Linked DNA regions of Caenorhabditis elegans. The protein of the gene in region 1 interacts with the protein of each later gene in a pairwise test. Each region holds a gene or a part of one and is shown in the gene's direction. Other genes may lie near its edges. The genes, in order: C46H3.2, paic-1, taf-12 and egl-13.

Region 1 (4,914 bases):
TTGATGAGTTGGTTTAAGCAGCAAAATTAAATAAATAAATTGGTCAGTTAGCTCTAAAATTAGGTCAGTGCTTTCAAAAAATTGGTCAGTGCGTTTCAACATTTGGTCAGTGCAAAACTCAATTTAAAAGTTTATTTTGCCATTTTGTTTTATTTACTGAACAGACATATTTTTGTTCTAAACTCCAAGTTTCCAAAGTTTTCAGCTATTCCCCTATTGTTCCTCAATCGTTTTATGAGATTAAAATTTGTGAATTCAAATAAATCATAGATTTTCCCATATTCACCCCTTACATCGCACTGACCCTTTTCGTCACCACCTGCGAAGAAGTGAGATGATATGACAAATGATCATGACAACAAATGTACATACACATTTATTGATGGAGAGACACAGATTTTGGGCGTCCGAATTCCCTTGTTCAAATCTCATCTCAAGGTCTCTTATCTGGAAAACGGAACATAATAATGATAACAATGAGATGATGATGAAGAGGAAAAGGGCGTTTATGAGAATTAACATTTTTATTCTTTTTAAGTTTTATATGTATCTCTCGAAGGAGTACAGATACAGGGAAAATCGTCACAAAAATGATTTAATTTTGCGATTTTTTTAAACACAAATATCTTGGATGGTCTTGAGACGACAAATGTTTGCTTCACTAATTTTTCATAATTTCTTTTTTTTTTTCCTCTAACTTTCTATTTTATTCAGTTTGCATAAAAAATTGTTGGCCGAGACCGGGTACCGTATCAAAACAAACTTGCTTCGTTATAAAAATTAATTTTTAGATATGTTCCAGAAAATATTCACAAAAACCTTTTAATTTATTATTTTGGTCAGTGCAGAAAATAAAGTGGTCAGTGCACTCTAAGGTTGGTCAGTGCAAGAAACTAATAACAAACTTTGTTTGTGAACATTTCTAGTCTGCTTAAAGTTTTTTAAAAAGAAAATAACCAAAAATAATTTAAAAACGGACAAACTCATTTTTGGCAAACGAAAAGAAAATTTATTTCAAAAAACAAGCTTAATCTTTTTTAATATCATTATTCTGTCACTTGCATGACGCGTCCACTAAATTTGTAATTTTTTCCTTTTTTCATATTCAGTTTTTTGACTTTGTAATGGAAATACAAAAATTATAGAAAATTAATTTTTTCGAATTTTTCTGAAAATATAATGGAAATTTCTGAAGGTAAATTATGTTTCTAAAATTATTTGCCAGTAAATAAAATAAGAGAATTAAAAATGGAAGTTTGGAAAATTACGTTGAAATAAAAAATATATAAAAACGATTTTTTTTTTCTTAAAAGTTTGTTCGTCGGAAATTTCAACAAAACCAGAGCTTTTGATTTATATACTTTAAAAAAATGATTTTGAGAATAATTAAAAATAGCTTATTTAAATTTCAACTCTGGTCATTTTTAACCAAGCTTTCCAAAATTTTAAGTATTTTTATAGTAGCTGTAGTTTAGAAGGCTCAAGCGTTTCATAATTATAGTCAATTCCAAAACGATAAAATTTGAATAGTTTAAGATTTTTTTAAATTCGGTATATATTTTAAGGAAATTTTTAAAGCCCATTACTAATTATTACGATTCTTTTTTTAAAATTTGTTTTCCTTGATCTTCTTGAGCCACAACCGCCACAAAAAAATAGCAAAAGTGGATTGTATTATTTGCGTAGATTTCCATTCGTTTGTTATCACAAAAGTCGTCGCCCTCTCTCTACCCCCCGAATATCCACCCGTACCTTTTGCTGTCTTTCGTTCTCTGGCGGAAGTACTCAAGTGGAGAAGGGATGTGCACTAAAAATGTGTATTTTTGTGATTGAAAATGCTTCTTTCTGCAGTTTTTGATGTTTTATCCTTTTTTAGAATTCGGTTTTTTTTAAATATTTAGTTAAACTTGCAGAGATCTTTTGGTATGTCCAGCAAAAAACTTCTTAGGAGGTTTTCATCAAGTATATCAGGTGGGTGAGATCATGTGGCAGAATTAACATCAAAAGTGGAAAAAACAAGTTTGGCGTAATTTCTTATAAAAATTTAAGGATTTTAGCAACTCTAGGCATGGTCAGTATAAAAAATACTTGGTCAGTGACATGGTCAGTGCTCCTGTTAAAATAGGAGCAGAAAATTGAGATTGTTTGGTTTTTGAAAAGAAGCTCAGTTTTTCATTTTTATAATTGTAAAATATATGTTCTTAAAAATTTTTTAACTGAGAAAAAATAATTTCTGGGAGTAAAACACTTTTTTTCGTTTATTTCAGATCTTCTTAGCATACCCAAAAGAGACCTTTGTGATAATGAAGAATTTACACCTTTACATAATGCAGTCAAAATGGGAAATACAGTTATGGCAAAGAATTTTATAGATTCGAAATCAGTGTGGATAGATGAGCCGGATTGTAGAGGTAATTTGAAATTTCTTAAAAAATAATAGTTTTTGCAAAATTAAAAAAAAAACCCGTTTTGAATTATCAAGCATTTTCTGAGCGGCAATTTCAAAATTCGACTTCAAAAAATACTAAAACGTGCACCAAACTGTATTAAACTTTCAATTTTTAGGCCAAACTGCTCTCCACTTATCCATCACCTACGGTGATACCGAAATGACGTCACTTTTACTGAAAGGCGGTGCAAACGTGGATTCCGTAGATTATGATGGAATTTCGGCATGTCATATTGCATGTAAAGACGGTATGATTGATCATGTAGGTTTTTTGGATTGGAAAAGTTATGTGTCAGTTCTATGGGACCCCATCTTTTAAAAAAATGGGTAAATAAAAAACTTTTGTAATGAATTATTGCTTTTTTCGGATTCAGCATGTTAATAAATTATGCTCCCAAAAATCTCAAACACTATTCTATCACTGACTGAAAATATATTAACTGCGTCAGTTTTATTTTGTTTTGAGACCCTTTCAAAAAAAAAGTCACTAAAGTTCTAGATTTTTCGAATTGAAAAAAAAAACAGAAAACTGTGTTAAATCAGGGATTCTTTATTAATTGAAAATTGAGAAGTTACGTAAAGTTTATAAAAAATGGAAGTTTTTTTAAAGCTTTTTTTAATAATGACAGAATTAAGGGTGTATAAAAATGTTTCAATTTAAAACAAAGTAATTTCATTAAAGTGAATTAAAAATTTTCAGTTTAACCTACTCATCTACTACCATGCAGACATTTGTTTAGTTGACAGAAGTGGAAGAACACCATTCGATTTGGCATGTGAATATGGACAAGAAAAGGTTTGCTACCTACTAGGGAAGGAGGCGCGGTTTCAAGACCGGACGCCTGCCAAATATCTGCACTTATTTTTGCACTATGGCGAGATGCAAAAAGCTTAGTGTTTATACCTCATAGTGCAAAAAGTTGATCTTTCAACGCGGCCGACACCTTTCGGTTTTGCGTCGTACCATACAAGAGGCGCGGTTTGCGGCACGAGATAGACACGGCAGTTCTTTTGCCGCCTGTATGGATGCCCTACTACCTACCTCTTGCATTGCTAAACAGGAAATTTCAGATGCTGGAGCGATTATTCAGCTGTGGCCTAAGAAAGATCAATTTCCAATATATGGACCATCTCCACACAGCTTCGGCATTCCACCTGGCGGCTGGAAGTGGTCAAGTTCAGGTTTGGCAAAATTTTCAGCTTACTAGAAATCTAGGCTAAAATTAAATTTCCAGATTTTATCAATGTTACTTCAACACAATTGGGATTTGAATTTTGTGACAGAAAGCGGGTCGGCTCTTCACATGGCAGCTGGCTCTGGACAAGTTCAAGTTGTTCGGTTTTTGCTGAATGTAAGTGCCTAATTTTTTATTGTTAATTTTCCAAGTTGAATAAAAATGGCTATCTGTTATTTTGTATGCCAGAATTTGTGTAAAAACCATTGAACGAAAACTTACATAGTTCAGAATAATAGAAAAGCCATGGTCAAAATCTTTGAAAAATCAAATTTAAAGATGTAATGGCTACTAGCTTTTAGTTAAAAAAAATCAAATTATTACAAGAGTATTAACTTTTCCATTTTGAAAAAAAAGGAATAAGTGGCTTAATTATTTTTAAATTCGTTTTCAAATGAATGCAAAATTTTACATTTCCAAAAATAAAGTTACGTTTAAAAACGATATTTCACTTTTGATTAGAAAATTTCAAAAACCGATGTATCTAAACATAAAACAGAAAATTAAAAATTTACAAAAAATCCATAAATTACATATGGAGCTCTAGAAATTATTCAGGCTTTCTAATTTTTCATTTGCGAAATTTAAAAAATCAATAAAAATTCAGAAAAGGTTAATGTATCTATTTTTAAAAATATTCACCAATTTCGGTCTATTTTATTTTTTTTAACTCCGCAGACCACTCTGATACATCTTTAGCTAGTTTCTAATTTCTGAAATTTTCAAAAGGAACTATTAGGTTGGTCGAAAAGTCTTTGCAAAATTTGTACTTTTCTTCATTTCTCAGCGTTAATTCATTTTTTTCTGATTCGGTTTTTTTTGCATAGTACGTAATGTGCATGTTTAATATATTAAAAAAAAACTTTTGGGTGCTGTTCAAAATGACCGAGAATTTGCTCGCCGAACGTCACGCCCTCCGATGGGTTTTTCTGTACGAGTTCCCCCAAATCTGCAATTGCAACGAAGCTCGTCGTAACATGTGTGCAGTGTTAGGCAAGAACTCTGTCACCTATAATACCATGAAGTTTTGGTTCGAAAAGTTCACGAAAAAGAACTACGATCTCGATGATAAACCAAGATAAGATCGCTCTCGTTTGAATATCGACGAGGATATTTCGAGAGCCCTGGAAGATGATCCAAGAGCAACGAACCGCGAACTTTCTGCGACTCTCAAGCATCCCCAAAAAACCATCATCAACCATCTCCACGAAACCGGAAGGGTAGAAAAGT
Region 2 (5,417 bases), on another chromosome or scaffold:
GACAATCAAATAATCGATAAATTATTGCAGATGTTAGCAGACGACCATCAAGTCGACTTTGCTGGACCCCTAGGCGATTGTGACCCCTCGCGGCTCAGCGGGATATCAAGAAATAGTCAAGAAGGACCTATGCATGGGATTATTACTCATCCTGATGGTGGGAATACTTTAAAAATAAGCATTTAAAATAATAATTGTTAATTTCAGGCGAAGTGACAAACATTCCAGCGTCAATGCTTGACGATCAGTTTGGGATGGCGGGTTTGGTGACATATCTTCGGACAGTTGACAATCCTTCCATTGTTTCACTGGCGTTAGGTTATGATCTTACGACGTTGGGCTTGAATTTGAATTTGTCAGAGTGAGTAGTGGCCTGAAAAGCCCGAAAAGCCCAGAAAAACTCTAATTTCCCTCTGTTTCAGACGAAAATTGTACATGAACTTTGGTGGTCCGTGGGCCGATTCGCCGATTCGAGCACACGAGCTCGACGTGAAGGTGCCCGAGGAGTACATGACGCATAATCATATTCGAGACAAACTTCCACCGCTGCGATTGAATAAAGTTTCAGAAGACGTGTTATTCTATCTTTTTTACAACTGTCCAAACGAGATTTATCAGGTGGCGGCGGCGTGCGAATTGTAAGTAAAGTTTATTCCAAAAACCTGCATCGACCATGACCGCGAGCGGAGCGTCGTGTTTAAAAAATTTATTTTAGTTTTTTTTTTTCCCCGAGAATTTGTGATTTTCATGAATTTACATATGAAACGCATAAAAAATTGGCCAAAATGATAGAAAATCACTCGTTCTGGGCGAAAAACTTTCAAGAAAATCCGCTTTTTCGTTAAGATCGCATAATTGTTCATCATTTTAGTTGATTCTTATTTCGCCTCATATATAAATTTATGAAAAATCATGTGAATCACGCGTTCTTAGCGAAAAGTTAAAATAAAAATTATTGAGCCGCTCCGTTTGCAGTTACGTCGCGGTCGAAGTTCACGAATCAAATTATTAATAATTTTAAAATTTTAGCTAGAAAATTGAAAAAAACATATATTTTATGTTAGCAATTGAGAAAATCTTTTTTATCACGAAACAATCATTATATTTTCAAATTTTTTGCAGGTACGCTCGCGAATGGCGATTTCACAAAAGCGAACAGGTGTGGTTGACGCGTTCTCAGTACGGTGGAGTGAAAGAACAGACGGGAAATTATGAAAAAGGGCATTACAACGTGTTCGATCAGATGCAATGGCGAAAAATTCCGAAAGAGTTAAAGTTGGAGTACAAAGAGCTCGAGGATCGGCCGAAAATGCCGCAATCAGTTTCCGGACAACCGACACCCTACAAATACTTTTTCCAAGGACCACAATTTCCGAGCGGTCCGGAGACGGGTCTGATGCTTCAGATGCATAACTTGACGCTCGGCACAGGTGGCGGCGGTGGCGGACAAATCACTCCACCGGCACCAGCGGGTCTTAACGGAGTTATGGGTGGTGGTGGTGTTGGAGCAGCTGGAATCGGAGGAATCAATGTGCAACCGGGAGCCGTTCCATCGGCGGCGCGAGCTACTCCAAACTAAACAAGAAGAAGATGATCTCTCGTGTGCAAATTTTCTATATCCCACTTTCGTCATCTTGTTCTCGAATTGCTCCCTTTCTCTCTCATTTTCCATCTCTTTTTCCCCTCTTTCTCTCCACATTTTCTCTCCCAATCTCCCATTTTTTTCCTTCGTTTTCCTTATTTTTCCTCTTTTCTCTACGTTTTCGTATAAACGATTATCGATATACACAAGTTGCTCTTTGAAAACCTGTGATTTTTCAAAGAAAGAGCTTCACAATGACTGGCGGCGGCGGTTTTCTCTGTATTTTCAGTGGCGCAACACCGAACTGATAAGACGGGGAAAAAGGCTGAAAACAAGATGTTTGTCGATGACAAACTCGCCTACAAGGGGGTTCTGATATCGTTCCGTGATAGCAACACAGTTTCATTCGATACTATTATTGTTTGTCATGTCGTCGTTGGCTGAAATCGCGTCGAGACCCGAAAACTTGGAGCTTCTTGCTGAAGGAAAAACCAAGCAAATCTTTGATATTAAAGGAGAAAAGGTTGGTTTTTTTCACTGAAAATTCAAAAAATTTGGGAAAACATTAATTTTCTACTAATTTTTTAATGCTTTATAGATTAAAATTTAGATATTTTAAAAGCGCCTTTTGAAATCGTGATGCAAACGCGCTCCGCGAGTAATCTGACAAGCTCCGCCCCAAAACGTTGGGTCTCGTTGGGAACGTGAATTTTTGACGATCTCACCCAATTTTTTTTGCATTTTTCAACATAAAAATCGTTAAAAACAACGAGAAATGATTGGAAAGTGCTGGAATCGGCAAAAAAGTAGGATTATACGGTTTTACCGCCAATACCTAACGAGACCCGGTTTTCAGTTATCCGTGGCGCGCTTTTGCAGCCCAAGTCACATTTTTATGCGTCTACATAATATTCAGAAAAGCGTGTCCTAGAAACACGAAAACTCGGCCAACCGAATTATCAGAAGAGATTTTTCAGAAGTATGCTCAAAATAATCTTTGAAAGAAATGTTCGGTTTTCACTGTCGGTGAGTGGCCGAGGTTTCACGTTTTCTAGGCCACGCCGCAAATAGCCAGCTTGTGGCCTAGGAAATGAGAAAACTCGGCCACTCTTTCAGCACATTTTTCAAATACACGTACGGAAAATTTCCTGTAAAAACGGTGTCTGAGCTTTCACGGAGCCTAGAAAAAACTCGGTCAATTTCGTAAATTTGAAATCTATTTGAATTTTTCCGTTTGGATTGCGATAATAATGTGCTTTTCAACAAAATTGAATCCAACTTTTTCAATTTCTGAACAAAATCTTTTCAGGATTATGTGCTCATTCGTTCCAAAGATAGCTTGACCGCATTCAACGCTGTCCGTAAAAATGAGCTTGAAGGAAAGTCTAGAATCGCAAGTAAAACCACATCAAACGTGTTTGAATATCTTCAACTTCTCGGTCTACCAACACACTTTGAAAAAAGCATCTCTGAAACTGAATTTGTCGCCCGTAAATGCACCATGATTCCGATTGAATGGGTGGCACGACGTGTTGCGACAGGATCCTTCTTGAAGAGAAATCCTGGAGTTAAAGAGGGTTTCAGATTTAATGATCTGAAATTGGAGACATTTTTCAAAGACGACGCTAATGATGATCCACAATGGACTGATGAACAAATTGTGTCGAATGGTTTGATGATTGATCATTTGAAAATTGGAAGAGAAGAGATTTCATTGATGAAGAAGATGACAAAGTTGGTGTTTAGAGCATTGGAGAAAGGATGGGCTCTTTCAAATAGTGCTCTGATTGATATGAAGGTGAGGGTGTTGCAAAGTTTTTATTATTCTCTTTTTTTTTATCGGTCTCAACTTTAAAAAGTAAACATAATAAAAAGTATGTAAGTTTAATGTTCGGTCTGCAATATATTCGTTTTGTAAATATTTACATTTTGAAAGGAAATCAGCACCATTTAAAACTGGGTGTTTTCTGTAACGTGTCGATTTACGCAGCTTGAGTACTTCACGAGGAGAAGTGTGTTTTTCTTTTCGCTGAATTTTACAATTGTCGGTTGTTGTAATTTTGAAATAATTTTGAAGAAAACCTGAAAATTCCAGATCGAATTCGGAGTCACAGTTGAAGGAGAAATTCTCCTGGCCGACGTGATTGACAATGACTCGTGGAGAGTTTGGCCTGAAAATGATAGACGTCTGCAGTTGGATAAGCAAGTTTACAGGGATATGAAGGAAGTGACAGAAGAGGGGTTGGCTCTCGTTTTGAAGAATTATACAAAGGTTAGTAGGCCGAAGCTTAGGCCTAAGCATATGCCTATGCCTGAGCCTAAACCAAAGACTAAGCCTAATCCTAAGTTTTAGCCTAAGCCCATGTCTAAGCATAAGCCTAAGCCTAAGCCTAAACCTAAATTCAATCATCCTATATATCAATTGTTAGATTTTTACGCGAATCAAACCTTTCGTGTAAGCACAATAACTTGCCTGCCTGCAAGGCGATCTGCACCTGATTTCTGCCAATATGCATACCTACAATTTTCGGTAGACACGTTGAGTAGGTAGGCAGGCACATAGACACGAAGGCGTATCTACCTACCAATAACATTTCCAGGTTATGGATATCACTGCCACCTTCTCAAAACACCAGCAAAAATGCCATGTTCTTGTGATCATGGGATCTGGTTCGGATGGCGTATTCGCACGGAAAATCTCTGATGAAGCCAAGAAATTTGGACTGGAAACTACGCTGAAAGTAAGCTCAGCTCATAAAACTACCTCGGACACTCTGGAAGTTATCGCTGATTTCGAAGAAAGTGGAGTTCCGACAGTTGTGATTGCAGTAGCTGGAAGATCCAATGGACTCGGTCCAGTTATTGCTGGAAACTCGTCTCTTCCGGTAGGACTTGAAAGATCAGATGATCTTTATTTCAAAGAATTCAGGTGATCAACTGCCCGCCACCAAGTGAATCAACGAGTCTTGACATTTGGTCATCACTCCGAATGCCGAATGGAATCGGGTGTACTACAGTGTTGGACCCATCGGAGGCCGCGCTTGCCGCCGCAAAAATCCTCGCGTCTCACAATCATATTGTGTTTGGAAAAGTGCTCACTGCACAGCTCAAGAATCAAATCAACATTTACGTAAGTGATAGAGATGTGAATTTCTAATTTTTGAACTTTCAGAACGCCAATCGCAAACTTGAATAGATGCAGGACTGAATTGAAATCAGATTTTTCAAAAACTTTCTTGTGTAAATTAACTAATTACTCAACGTTCACTTTTATTTCAGCATTCTTATATTAAAAACGAAATGAAATGTTTGAATCTTAAACTTTCAACTGCACATTCCACAGCACGTGCAGAAGAAATCCACGTGTGCCGAGACATCCACGAGAAGATCAGTCTCTTGAGTCAGCTGTCTCCGTTGCTGACGTTGACGATTATGGGTATCGTAGAGTTCTGGACAAGGCATTCCGGCTGACAAAACACCTACGAGAACTTGAACATTTCGAGTGTCCGATGTTCGGACAACTCCCGAGCCACTGTCACCCTGGAATCAGTGGAAACTATTAGGCATCTTGGGCAAGTAGGCATTGTTCTGCCTACTTCTGAAGAAACACTTTTAAACTTTAAAAACAAACATCACAAGACAATCCTCTATTCACTGCCGACGTACAATACACCCCGCCATATGGGAAATCGTCGGAGCACTCCGCAACAAACGAGTATAGCGATTTCAACTTTCCAGACTCCAAAACACTATCCGAAGCTGGAATTAAAAATTTCAAAAGATCACATAAAAATCGGAACTTACGATCTCTTCCATAACCAAAAAGCTTATATCC
Region 3 (7,836 bases), on another chromosome or scaffold:
TCTACTAACCGATTATACTAACCGATGTCTGAATAATAATATAAGCACAAAAAATTAATACCCACCGTTCAAAATCTGACTGAAATTCCAGTTTTAGTTTAGCTCCCAATTAATATGTATTCCAATTTTCAAAAAAATTATTTTATTCAAAACCAATCACACAAATTTTTTAAAACTTCACCAATATACTAATTGATCTTTGAATAATAATATAAACACAAAAAATTAATACCCACCGTTCGAAATTTGTCTGAAATTTCAGTTTTAGTTTAGCTGAAAATGAATAAAAATTCAAATTTTCAAAAAATTATTTTCTTCGAAACCAAACACCCAAATTTTTTTCAAACTTTACCAATTTACTTACTGATGTCTGAATAATAATATAAACACAAAAAATTATTACCCACCGTTCAAAATTCGACTAAAATTCAAGTTTTTCTTTAGCTGAAATTTAGTAAAAACTCAATTTTCAAAAAAACATTATTTTAAAACCAAACACCCAAATTTTTTTTTAACTTTACGAATATACTCGATTATGACCGAACAAAATTTTACGCTAATATCCAGTTTTACTTTGACTTTTCAAAACCCTCATGCGCCTTTAAACCTCGGTGTACTGTAATAACTCGATATTTTAATTGTTTTTATTGCCTTTTCCTCAACCAATGTTAGATAAAATATGTTTTTCCATTTCCAGTGATCACATGGTACAGTTATATTCAATTAAAGAAAACAATCGCGGCGAGACCCAAAAATGTACTTCCCAATTCGATCCCAATTCTTTCGCAAAATAATGACAGAGTGGACAACAAAATGTGACATGTTTGTTTTTATAAGACGTCCGCCGTCGTCTTTTTTCTGTTTACTTGCACTTCCTCGCAACGGCGTGGCCTAGGTTTTCCCACGGCCACGCTCATTTAGGTTCTAATAAACCACACTAGTGAGAGAGAGAGAGAGATAGTTGCGAGAAGAGACGGAAAAGAGCTAGAGAGGTCTCTCGTTCTCTTCATTGGCCTCAATTTCTCGCCACCACCCCCTACGTCTCTATTCCCCCAATGTCCTACATTTTTCGGATCGTTTTTCCCTTATATCAGAATCTGCCTAATTTTACGAGGTTTCGGCGCATAATATTATGTGCAATTCGAGAATAAAACTTTGAATATTTATTAGTTTAGGTCTTTTTCATTGATTTTTTCCAATAAATTCAATTTGATTTTAAATTGCTTGAAAATCGCCACCGTATCACTTTAAAGGCGCATTGCTGTTGTTTAACTTTGGGTCTCACAGCGAACCGAGTTTCAGTCATTAATTTTGATTTTTCCTTGGTTTTTTTTAAAAGAAAATTCTCAAAGTTAAAATTTTCACTCGGTTTTAAAATTAATAATAGCTAGCAACTATAATTCTGGAAAAAACATAAATTCACTTTAAATTGCCTAAAAATACAACCGTATAAGTTTAAAGGCGCATTGCTATTTTTAAGTTTGGGTCTCACAGCGAACCGAGTTTCAGTTATTAATTTTGACTTTTCCTCGGTTTTTTAAACTTTATTTGAAGAAATTCTTCAAAATTAAAATTTTTCTCGTAATATTTAATCAAAAATAATAATTAGCAACTAAAAATTCGGAAAAAAATAGAAATTGCTTGAAAAGTTTCACCGTATAACTTTAAAGGCGCAATGCTTTTGTTTAACATTGGGTCTCACAACGACCGAGGTACTGTGGAAAATTTATCGAATTTAACGAATTTATTCATTTTTATGAATATATTTCCATTTTCCTCGGTTTTCCGAAAGATTTTAAGCTTTAAAATCATCAAAAAAAAACTTAGTTGCAGATAAAAAATGAAAATGGAAGAATTCTCACCTCCAACTTCACCGAATAATCACGTAATCGTGCAGGCGAACCCGCAAATCGCCGCCGCTCTCTCCACGAATTCTGTAAGCGATTTGTGTGTCCGCTCTCTAATTATTGCTTTCTGTCCCAACAATGACTCACCGGCCAGCCGACAAAAAAAAAACAAAAAAAACGAATAAAAATAATAAAAAATCGGAGCGCCTCTCCGTTTTTTTTCCCCCGTAAACGTCCAAAGTGTATGTGTATTATTCTCATATCGATTGTGCTTCTCTTCTTCCCCCGACAAAACCATTTCCATCACAAAAGCTTCTCGTCGTCCTCTGTCCATATATATATATATATTTACTAATACTAAAAAATGTGGCCCTACCATCATGGATATCACGTCTATCACCCACATTTTCAGCCAATGCAGCAGGGAATTCCGCCACAAGGCCATCAGAATCCCAACGAACAGCAGCAGCAGCAGCAGTTTGTGGGCCAACCGCCGATGGGTGGAATGGGCGGCCCGATGAGAATGCAGATGCCACAGCAGCAAAGTATGAAGAAAAAACTCCTAAAAAATGCCTCAAATTCAGAAATAATTCCGTGAAAAATGAAAAAAAAATTGCTCAAAATTTAGCTGAAATCTCCAATTTTGTCCTATTCCGCCTATTTTAGTCGGCTATTTTACGTTTTTTCCGAAGAAAAAAGAAAAAAATCGCGAAAAAGTGAAAAAGTTAACTCGAAAAACATGATTTTTCGAATTACCTCCAAAATGAGAAATGCCTGAGCAATCAGCGATTCGCTCCGCCCACTTTTCGACCAATCAGGTAGATTGGGCGGAGTTTGAAGATGCTGATTGGTAGGAAAATACTCGAAAATTGGTAAATTAAATATTTAAAAAAAGCGATTTTTAAAATGGAATTCTTTGAATTTTTTAAAAGCGATATCTACATTTACACAAAGCCGCCTTAAATTACACCTAAATTAACGAAAAACGTGAAATAAATATGCAAATTAGGATGAAAATTGAATAAAAATCAATTTCTAGCCACCCTGGCACCGAAAAAATGGAGATTTTCGCTAGAATTAGGCGATTTTCGGAATGTCTGGTAGATCATGGTGTGATCTACAAAAAATGCGGGAATTTTTGGCCCAAAAAAATGTGACGTCAGCATGTTCTTAACCATGCAAAATCAGTTGAGAACTCTGCCGCATTTTTTGTAGATCAACGTAGATCAAGCCGAAATGAGACACTCTGACACAATGTGTGGTTAGGAAATTCGGAAATTCAGCAAAATTGGAACAGCGACCAATCAGCGACCGGCTCCGCCCACTTTTGGACTAATCAGACGGAGTGGGCGGAGTTTGTAATCGCGATTTTCTCCGTTTTTTTTTTTGTGGTTTTTCTGAATTTTAATGTATTTTTGGATATTTTTAAAGAGAGTGTAGTTGAATTTTTTTTTTATTGCTGTATTAGACTCAAAATTGTCTGAAAACATCGAATTTAATAATGAAACTTCTTGAAAACTTTTCAGGAAAAAGTTATGATGGCTCAAAAAATGGCCTAAAATTAGTGCATTTCTTGCATTTTCAACTTGATTTAGGTATTTAAAAATCAATGGACGGCGAGATTTTTAAATTTTTTTAACGATTTTTTTCCGTTTTTTTTTGTGGTTTTTCTGAATTTGAAACTATTTTTTGGATATTTTTAAAGGTGGTGTAGTCGAATGTTTTTATTTGCTTTATTAGACTCAAAATTGTCTGAAAACACCGAATTTCATAGTGAAACTTTTTGAAAACTTCTCAAAAAATAAGTTATGACGGCTCAAAAAATGACCTAAAATTAGTTAAAGTTTGAAATTTGACCAACTTATCAATGTCGCAGCGGCTGGAAACATTTTTTTTTGAAATCACCGTCAAATTTTGAGTATATAAGTTAATTACCTTGTGTTTTAAATTTGATTAAGGTATTTAAAAATCGATGGACGACGAGATTTTTAAATTTTTTAAAACCAAATCTCGCCGTCCATCGACTTTAAAATACTTAAATGAAGTTGAAAACGCAAGATAATTAAATTGTATACTTAAAATTTGACGGTGATTTCGAAAAATTGTTTCCAGACGCTTGGCTAGTCGGTAAAATTTCAAATTTTAACTAATTTTAGGTCATTTTTTGAACCGTCATAACTTATTTTTTGAGAAGTTTTCAAACAGTTTCACTATGAAATTCGGTGTTTTCAGACAATTTTGAGTCTAATAAAGCAAATAAAAACATTCGACTACACCACCTTTAAAAATATCCAAAAAAAATAGTTTCAAATTCAGAAAAACCACAAAAAAAACGGAAAAAAAATCGTGATTTTCAAATTTTACTAAAATTAGCTCTCCGCCCACTCCGTCTGATTGGTCCAAAAGTGGGCGGAGCCGGTCGCTGATTGGTCGCTGTTTTAATTTTGCTGAATTTTCAAATTTCCTAACCACACATTGTGTCAGAGTGTCTCATTTCGGCTTGATCTACGTTGATCTACAAAAAATGCGGCAGAGTTCTCAACTGATTTTGCATGGTTAAGAACGTGCTGACGTCACATTTTTTGGGCCAAAAATTCCCGCATTTTTTGCAGATCACACCATGATCTACCAGACATTCCGAAAATCGCCTAAAATCTCCATTTTTTCGGTGCCAGGGTGGCTAGAAATTGATTTTTATTCAATTTTCATCCTAATTTGCATATTTATTTCACGTTTTTCGTTAATTTAGGTGTAATTTAAGGCGGCTTTGGGTAAATGTAGATATCGCTTTTAAAAAATTCAAAGAATTCCATTTTAAAAATCGCTTTTTTAAAATATTTAATTTACCAATTTTCGAGTATTTTCCTACCAATCAGCATCTTCAAACCCCGCCCACTCCGTCTGATTGGTCCAGAAGTGGGCGGAGCGGTACGCTGATTGGACGATGTTCCAATTATGCTGAATTTCCGAAAATCGCCTAATTCTAGCGAAAATCTTCATATTTTCGGTGACTACACCGTCTCTTTAATAAGGCTTCTCATGAAATAATTCGTAATTTTAGTCCGCCAAATGCCATACCCATCACCACAAATGCGTGCGGGCCCTCCACCACCACAGCAGCAGCAGCAGCAACACTTTCAACAAATGGGTATTCCACAACAGCAGCAGCCCCAACAATTCACACCGAATGGGCAATCAATGCAAATGCAACAGAGACCAATGCAGATGGGCATGGCTCAAGGGGTACGGGGGCGGTTATTATCTGGGAAATTTGAATTTAAAAAAAGCTTCCGTTTGAGACCCAAGAAAAACCTTTTTTCGGGAATTTGGGTCCACGGGATCAAAAATCTCTGAAAAATTGTTCTAAAAAATGTTACAAAACAATTTCTGCAGTGGAGCAGCGGAGCAGCGGTGAAAATTTCAAGGCTTGTATAATTTCTTCAAAAAAAAAATTTTTTTTTCGCATATTTTGGGCATTTTTAAGACTTTTTCTGCAGTTATTTTTGGAAATCCGCTTAAAAATCCTCTAATTTTAAAATGTTTCCAGCCAGGACCATCTGGACATTTAATGGGAATGGTCGGAGGGCCTCCGCCACAACATATGATGCAGCAGCAAGGAGGTGGTGGACCACCACAATTTGTGGTGAGTTTCCGGCAAAATCGGCAAATTGCCGGAATTGAAATTTCCGGCAAATCGGCAAATTGCCGGAATTGAAATTTCCGGCAAAACCGGTAAATTGCCGGAATTAAAATTTCCGGCAAATCGGCAAATTTCCGGAATTGAAATTTCCGACAAAATCGGCAAATTGCCGGAATTGAAATTTCCGACAAAATCGACAATTTGCTGAAATTAAAATTTCCGGCAAATCGGCAAATTGCCGGAATTGAAATTTCCGACAAAATCGGCAAAATGTCGGAATTCAATTTTCCCGCAAATTGCCGGAATTAAAATTTCCGGCATATCGGCAAATTGCCGGAACTAAAAAGGCAACGTTTACCGATCGAGCTCGTAAAAAACCGGCAAATTCGCCAAATTTGTCGTGGCGTAATATTTTTTGGAGCTCAAAAAGAGCCCGATTTAATGGAAAAACTATAAAAACCATTAGTTTTGGGCAAAATTTTTCAAAATTTCCAGCCAAACTCGTCTCCAATGCCGCTGCCTCCTCAACAAATTATGCAAGTACAACATCAGCAGCAACATCAGCAGCCACCACCATCTCAACAAATTCAACAGCCTCCAATTCCACAGCCACAACAGCAACAGGCACCGCCACCTCAAATGATACCGGCCGCTGTTCCGTATGGAAGTATTATGGAAAAGGTGCAACAAAAAACCGGCAAAAATACTTAGAAATTTCGGCAAAAAAACCGGCAAAAATACTTGAAAATTTCGGCAAAAATACTTGGAAATTTAGGCAAAAAAACCGGCAAAAATACTTGGAAATTTCGGCAAAAAAACCGGCAAAAATACTTGGAAATTTAGGCAAAAAAACCGGCAAAAATACTTGGAAATTTCGGCAAAAAAACCGGCAAAAATACTTGGAAATTTCGGCAAAAAAACCGGCAAAAATACTTGGAAATTTAGGCAAAAAAACCGGCAAAAATACTTGGAAATTTCGGCAAAAAAACCGGCAAAAATACTTGGAAATTCCGGCAAAAAAATCGGCAAAAATACTTGGAAATTTCGGCAAAAAAGCCGGCAAAAATACTTGGAAATTTAGGCAAAAAAACCGGCAAAAATACTTGGAAATTTCGGCAAAAAAACCGGCAAAAATACTTGGAAAATTGATTTTTATTTAATTTTGAAATTTTTTCAGAAAAAATCGAATAAAGCTCAGATTTTCCGATTTTTTTTCAAAGAAAATCGAAAAAAATTCAGGTTTTTTCAGGAAAATTTAAAAAATTTTCTGATTTTTTAGTTTTTTTTTCAATTACAAATTTCTCTAGCAAAAATTCGCAAAAAAAAAATTTTTTGGATTGTCTTTTCATAGAAAATGAGCAAATTTCAGATTTTTCGGTCTTTTTTTTCAGAGAAAATAGGAAAAAAAATGCACAAAGAATTCACGGAAGGGGACGAAAAAGCTATAGATTTATCAAAAAATATGCTGATTTTTATTGAAAAAAGTGATTTTTTTTTTCTATAAAGTATTGAAAAATGGCCGGAATTTATTGAAAATTCGATTTTTTTTAAACGAAAAACGAAAATTTCCAATTTTTCAATACAATTTTTAAATTTTTTTTTGAACTTTGAAAAAAATTCGAACTTCTGCATACACTAGTTTTTGCTTTGCTCCTGAAAAAATAATGAAATTAAAAATGGAATTTTTTGTAAATTTGCTATTAAAAATTCGATTTTTAAATTTTCACTGAAAAAAATGCCTAAATTTTTGGTAATTTTTCTTGTAAAAATTCTTGTAAAATTAAGAGTTTTTGTTTAATTTTCTAATTAAAAAATTTTAAATTTTCGATTTTCAAGATTTTCAAACAAAAAAATCGAAAATTATAACAATTAATAAAAAAAAAAAAAAAAATAGCCTAAAATTTTCGTAGTTTTTTTTTTTCAAAAACTCTATAAAATTTTTTTTTCCGATTTTTTGATTTTCACTGAAAAAACCGAAAATTCTTATTTTAAAAAATCTTCTTTTTTTTAAAATTTTTTTTTCAGTCAAAACTGGATGATTTGATGCAACAAATCAGCTCAACAACAGTACTCGAAGAAAATGTAAAAGATGTTCTTGTGGAGTACGCCGACGATTTTGTCAGTTCTCTAATCGATAAAGCATGCAAAATGATCAAGAATCGGGAGGTGAAGAAAATTGAATCACGGGATATCGAATTTATTCTCAAGAATGTCTATAATATGCCAGTGGTACGGCGTTTTTATTACTGATTTTTATGTTTTTTTTTGATATTTAAAATGGTCTAGAAAATACGGATTTCGTGAAAAAAAAATTAGAAAAAAACGCCTAGTTTTAGCTAAAATCTCTAA
Region 4 (4,708 bases), 4.4 Mb from region 1:
AATGTCATAAATCTTGAATTTATCAGGGAGCGATAATTTTGCCAGCTATGAGACATAAGAAAAACCTCCAATAGTAATTTTTCATATCAACTTGTAAGAACATAAACATTAGTCACATCACGCGTTGTGCAACAGTATTTGAGTTTGCTTAGAAAATCGGAATACTAAATGTCTCAATCTCAAATTCAAGTTCAAGCATAGATCTAAAATTTTAACATTTCGATGTGTTTTTTCAGTTCTTGTGTTTTTAACAATTCTAAATATGCAAACCTATTTAATTTACCTAGTTATTCAGGGTGGTTAATAACTGTGTAAGTTCACTTGTTTTAATATCTCGTTCCAAAAACAGAAACGTTGAGTTACTGCAAAGTGGTCGCCATAATTATGGGCGACTCTGTATATTCTTGAACTAGAAAACCGTATCTTTACGGTTTCATTTGTGATAGCCTTTTGACCTTATTTTATATAGACTTATATAAGAGTTCGTATACTCTAGGATTTTGTTGTATGTAGTAACTAAGATTTTTTTTAATATTCCAAGTTCCTAGATGTCATAACCTCTCACTATAGTTAGAACTTTTTGGCCTACTTAAAATTTCTAGGCTATATTGAAATACAATTTCAGTGTGTTTCAATATTCTTTACTGTCAAAAGCTAAAATGTCCACCTAAAATACATTATGATTGATTCCCGTCCTCGTATTGCGATGCCCTCTTAGTCTATCATAAATGCATTTCCGAATCTTCGAAACGAGGTTGAGTAGGTGCATTGTGTCAACTAAAAGAAACATTATGGAATTGTTGCAAGTGGTTCTCGACCTATTACCATTTCGCGTTCTTTGGAAAACTTTTGCGCCATTGGTCAACACATCCAGTTCTGAAGAAGCGCGGGTCCCCACCGTGTCTCTCCGACAACACACCACCACCACCCACTTTGCAGAGAAGAGGGCACAGTGTGTAACTTATTGTGAGACGATTCAGAGGACAAACAAATTGCGTGGTCAGTTTTGTTTTCAGGTGGGGTGGTCACTCTCTTTCATTCTCTTCATTGTGTGATGGAACACAACTACCTTGAACCACTTGTCTGATACCAGTTCCCTCTTCCAATCACCTAGACAACCAATACCAGCTTTTTCCTGTTTTCTCCCTCTCTCTTCTTCTCTTGGTTCAAAGTTTGTTGTCTGAAATTGCCAGTTCAATTGGGTCACCATGTCTGAAACTAGTGACCAATGAAATTTCGTGAACAGTCCAAAACAAAAAATTAATACCATAGGCTTCCTTGTGGGACAACTAGTTATATTTTCTGTTTGACTACTGAACTTATGTTTCTCTAAGTGTTGCTTTCTACTTTCAACCAAACATTTTTTTTCTCATTTTTCCATTTTGCCCCCATCTTTTATTCACTTGAACCTTTTCTCTTTTCTTTTTCTTCTTACCCTCAAAGGACAAATCGTGAGACTATCCTCAATTGAAGAAAAGGAATTTCTGATATATATCTGTGCAATATCTTTGTTCTCCTTCATAATTCACAATTCATTCAGCGCGTGTGAATCGTTTGAATTAATAATGCCACTGAACTCAAATAATCGGCCTTTTTAAGTTTCTCTAGTTTCAATTTCTAACGCTTTTGATTCTTCTTTTTCAATGTTTTCTTCAGGCTTGAATTTACAAACGCAAATTTAAAATTCCAGACACTCCAAATAAAATCAATACTCCATAATACTGCTGGATCAGTAACAACAATCTCCCGAATGGCTCTATAGTGGTGAGTAAGAACTAGTTTCCGTTCTAGTTTCTACTGTGCCATGCTCTTTCCCCTTTTAATGTTGTGAGCACTGTTTTGCTTTTTCATTGAAATAACAAAACAAGTAGAACAAGTATTTGCACCAGCAAGCATCTGGTAAGTATTCTCTTCCTCACCAACTTTACTTTTCTCACACTTTTGCCTATATTTGCGCATTTGGAGCAAGAGCAACACTTCCAGATTTGGTGACAGATTTCAAAGAATTATTACTTTGTCTAGTCTTATTTTCTCCTTGTCGTGTGCCGTTGTTGATCATAATAATAGTAGGCCAAATCGCCGCACCCGTCACTGCTCATGATCCCTTTAATATCCTAGCTAACTCCGAGTTTATCATCATGTGCCTCCTATGGGCACTGCCAATTCCATAAATAATTGTTTTTTCTTCTTTTCTATCTATCCTTTGTGTTATCCTTCTTCTTCCATACTTTACCTTATCAAATATTCATGTATTCTTGACAGACTGTAAGGGATAATTGGAGATCTCGATGATGAATTATCCTTGCTCTTGTGTTTGCAGTTTTGGTAGGGTGTATATGTCAATTATTTCTTTTGAATACTCTATTGAGAATCTATTGAAACCATACTCTATTCAGCTTGAGCTTCAAGGGAGAAACATGCGAGTGATCATTGACATACTTGATTGTAGTTAAAAACCGCATTTTCCGTATTAAACTTGCACCCCAATGGATTTACCTCGTATATCAGTCTTCTTAAGTTTTACCAAAAAATTATTTACTGTTGAAATGTACAAAAACATTTTGCACATAATTTGCCAACCGAGATAGAAGCTGTCAAAGTAAAGCAATGAGAGTACAAGACTAATACATTACAACTAACGTCTATATCATCCCTTTTCTAATCTGGGAGTTTGGTGCTTCCAAATTATTTTCAGAAAAAAACGTCAGCACAGTTTGATAGCAAATGCTGCAAAGGATATGCTCCCCCAGTTTTATGATGATACCTGAAAATTAAGTAAAAATTTTGTAAAAAAAACATTCATCCAACTTCTATAGCACTCATCGGATTTTTTGACAGGGGCCAGTTCTCGGCTCCTCATAATTTTCTCGTTTATTGTTAAAATTTCGAACTAAACTTTGAGATATAAGTTGTGAAAATCAAGGACCATAGGTTTTCAACATTTTCTATTGAACTGTACTAACACCTTTTCAAAAAATATTTTCAAAAACACCAAACTCTCAAATTAGTGGGGTGGTGCTATAGACGTTGGGCACACTGTAGAGAAATATTTGGTGGTATATTAGGTCTCCAAATAAGTTCCGGGTCAAAAGTCATAACTTTGTTCGCTGCGTATCGATTTTTATGAAACTTTGGGAATTCATGTTATCAACTATGATCTTTCATTTGACAATAGTCACAAAATTTTTTGACCACCCCAAGTGCCCTAACTCGGAACCAATTTTTTCAGGCATTTTTCTGATCTCGCTTCTTTTCAAATTTCAATTGAGGTTCATGGTTACATCATTTTTGTAGGAAAAATCTAGAATTTTCGACAAAAAATTTTTTTGAAGATTTTTTGACGACCAACCAAAAAAAATTTTTTTGGACGGATTTTTTCAAAACTTTTGTTGTTTTCTAATAATGTATTCTAAACAAAGAAAAATCCGCACACAACCCTCAATTCAAAGCTGAAAATAAGCGAGATCAGAAAAATGCCTGAAAAAATTGGCTCCGAGTTAGGACACTTGGGGCGGTCAAAAAATTTCGTGACTATTGTTAAATGAAAGATTATAGTTGATAACATAAATTCCCAGAGTTTCATGAAAATCGATACACAGCGAACAAAGTTATGATTTTTGACCCAGAACTTATTTGGAGACCTAATATATTTGATTTACCTTTTTTTGAAATCTTTCTTATTTGTTGTGCATGAGACTTAACTTTTTTTTCATAAACTTATCACACAACAATTCTTCGCAAAACACTACAATCGAACATCATTCCTGCTCATCAAACATCTGCGCTGTCCCACTGTCCCAGTGTCTCATCGCTCGTCAAGCCTATCAACATTTTTTGTCCCAAACTAAAAGTGCAATGAGAGCTCCATTGTATTGCACGAAAAGTTTCTCAGTTTCTCAAAAAGTGTGACATCGAGAGAAAAAGAGCACCGTTGTTTCGAGGTTCAGCCGCCACAAGAGCCAGTTGTCACCGGCGCCCCGGATACACGGAACAAAGCCATGAGACGTATGTTCTATTAGGTGTTCAACTATTGCTAACCTGTCACCTGCCCCGACATTATTTGATTATCTATTGTCTCGTTAATTGATGGTAAGTAGAGTGTGTGACACCTTGAGAAACGATTCCACAAATATCACCATTTTGAACGTGTTGAAAATATCCGTCGAACTAACGTTTGTACTCGTAGTATCACTTTTTCCTATCCGTTTTTCGTGTTTGAAATCTTTGATAGGAAGATAAGACACAGGGAACCCCGAGCTCTTGATGGAACAATGCCTGCCAAGATGTTTGTCAATTGTTGCATCTTCCTGGAAGACGACAAAAGTTCCCCCGTTTTTCATCTTTTCGTCCCACTCTCATACGAATCTTGAACAGAAATTGTTGCGAAAATTTTTTCTTTCAAAAACTGACCTCAAATCAGCGGAAGGAGTCACTTGTCACACTTGTTCTTCTTTTATATATCACACTTAATAACACCTATCTTTTGTTGTCAAACCAAAACGGAGCTCTTGTAATATTCAATATTGAACGAACATTATGCCCTTTCCCATTTGACAAATAGGCCTTGATCCATCCTGCTCTAGACTATAATCGGCTTAACCAGGCCTTGCTCATAGATTTCGATTCTTAGCCCCTGTTTCCTCCATCCCCACAACAACAAGTTATCCAAGGGCAACATCGATGAATTGTGGAATTTGATACTAACGGT

Evidence for each region.
Region 2: the proteins of C46H3.2 (region 1) and paic-1 interact in a two-hybrid assay, tested with the Caenorhabditis elegans proteins (one large-scale study listed by BioGRID).
Region 3: the proteins of C46H3.2 (region 1) and taf-12 interact in a two-hybrid assay, tested with the Caenorhabditis elegans proteins (one large-scale study listed by BioGRID).
Region 4: the proteins of C46H3.2 (region 1) and egl-13 interact in a two-hybrid assay, tested with the Caenorhabditis elegans proteins (one large-scale study listed by BioGRID).

What each region holds. Positions count from the first base shown.
Region 1 is NC_003284.9:1,227,758-1,232,671, reverse strand, and holds the start of C46H3.2 (Caskin-2), read left to right. Parts: upstream 1-1,913; 5' UTR 1,914-1,925; coding exon 1,926-1,971; intron 1,972-2,267; coding exon 2,268-2,411; intron 2,412-2,565; coding exon 2,566-2,711; intron 2,712-3,149; coding exon 3,150-3,245; intron 3,246-3,520; coding exon 3,521-3,631; intron 3,632-3,684; coding exon 3,685-3,801; intron 3,802-4,914.
Region 2 is NC_003280.10:4,369,108-4,374,524, reverse strand, and holds paic-1 (Phosphoribosylaminoimidazole-succinocarboxamide synthase), read left to right. Parts: upstream 1-1,999; 5' UTR 2,000-2,009; coding exon 2,010-2,105; intron 2,106-2,617; exon of another isoform or gene 2,618-2,687; intron 2,688-2,891; coding exon 2,892-3,380; intron 3,381-3,677; coding exon 3,678-3,854; intron 3,855-4,182; coding exon 4,183-4,467; intron 4,468-4,511; coding exon 4,512-4,712; intron 4,713-4,754; coding exon 4,755-4,778; 3' UTR 4,779-4,900; downstream 4,901-5,417. Other genes in the region: ntl-2.1 (NOT2/NOT3/NOT5 C-terminal domain-containing protein), read left to right, coding at 31-157, 208-361, 423-638, 1,123-1,579; try-9 (Peptidase S1 domain-containing protein), read right to left, coding at 4,907-5,122, 5,214-5,341, 5,387-5,417.
Region 3 is NC_003281.10:11,863,279-11,871,114, reverse strand, and holds the start of taf-12 (Transcription initiation factor TFIID subunit 12), read left to right. Parts: upstream 1-1,833; 5' UTR 1,834-1,840; coding exon 1,841-1,936; intron 1,937-2,259; coding exon 2,260-2,392; intron 2,393-4,908; coding exon 4,909-5,090; intron 5,091-5,394; coding exon 5,395-5,490; intron 5,491-5,982; coding exon 5,983-6,168; intron 6,169-7,512; coding exon 7,513-7,716; intron 7,717-7,836. UniProt on the Caenorhabditis elegans protein: Part of the general transcription factor complex TFIID. Plays a role in recruiting taf-4 to the nucleus and thereby activating transcription initiation by RNA polymerase II, as part of the TFIID complex.
Region 4 is NC_003284.9:5,662,147-5,666,854, forward strand, and holds the start of egl-13 (Transcription factor egl-13), read left to right. Parts: upstream 1-1,690; 5' UTR 1,691-1,764; intron 1,765-2,218; exon of another isoform or gene 2,219-2,358; intron 2,359-4,341; exon of another isoform or gene 4,342-4,534; intron 4,535-4,708.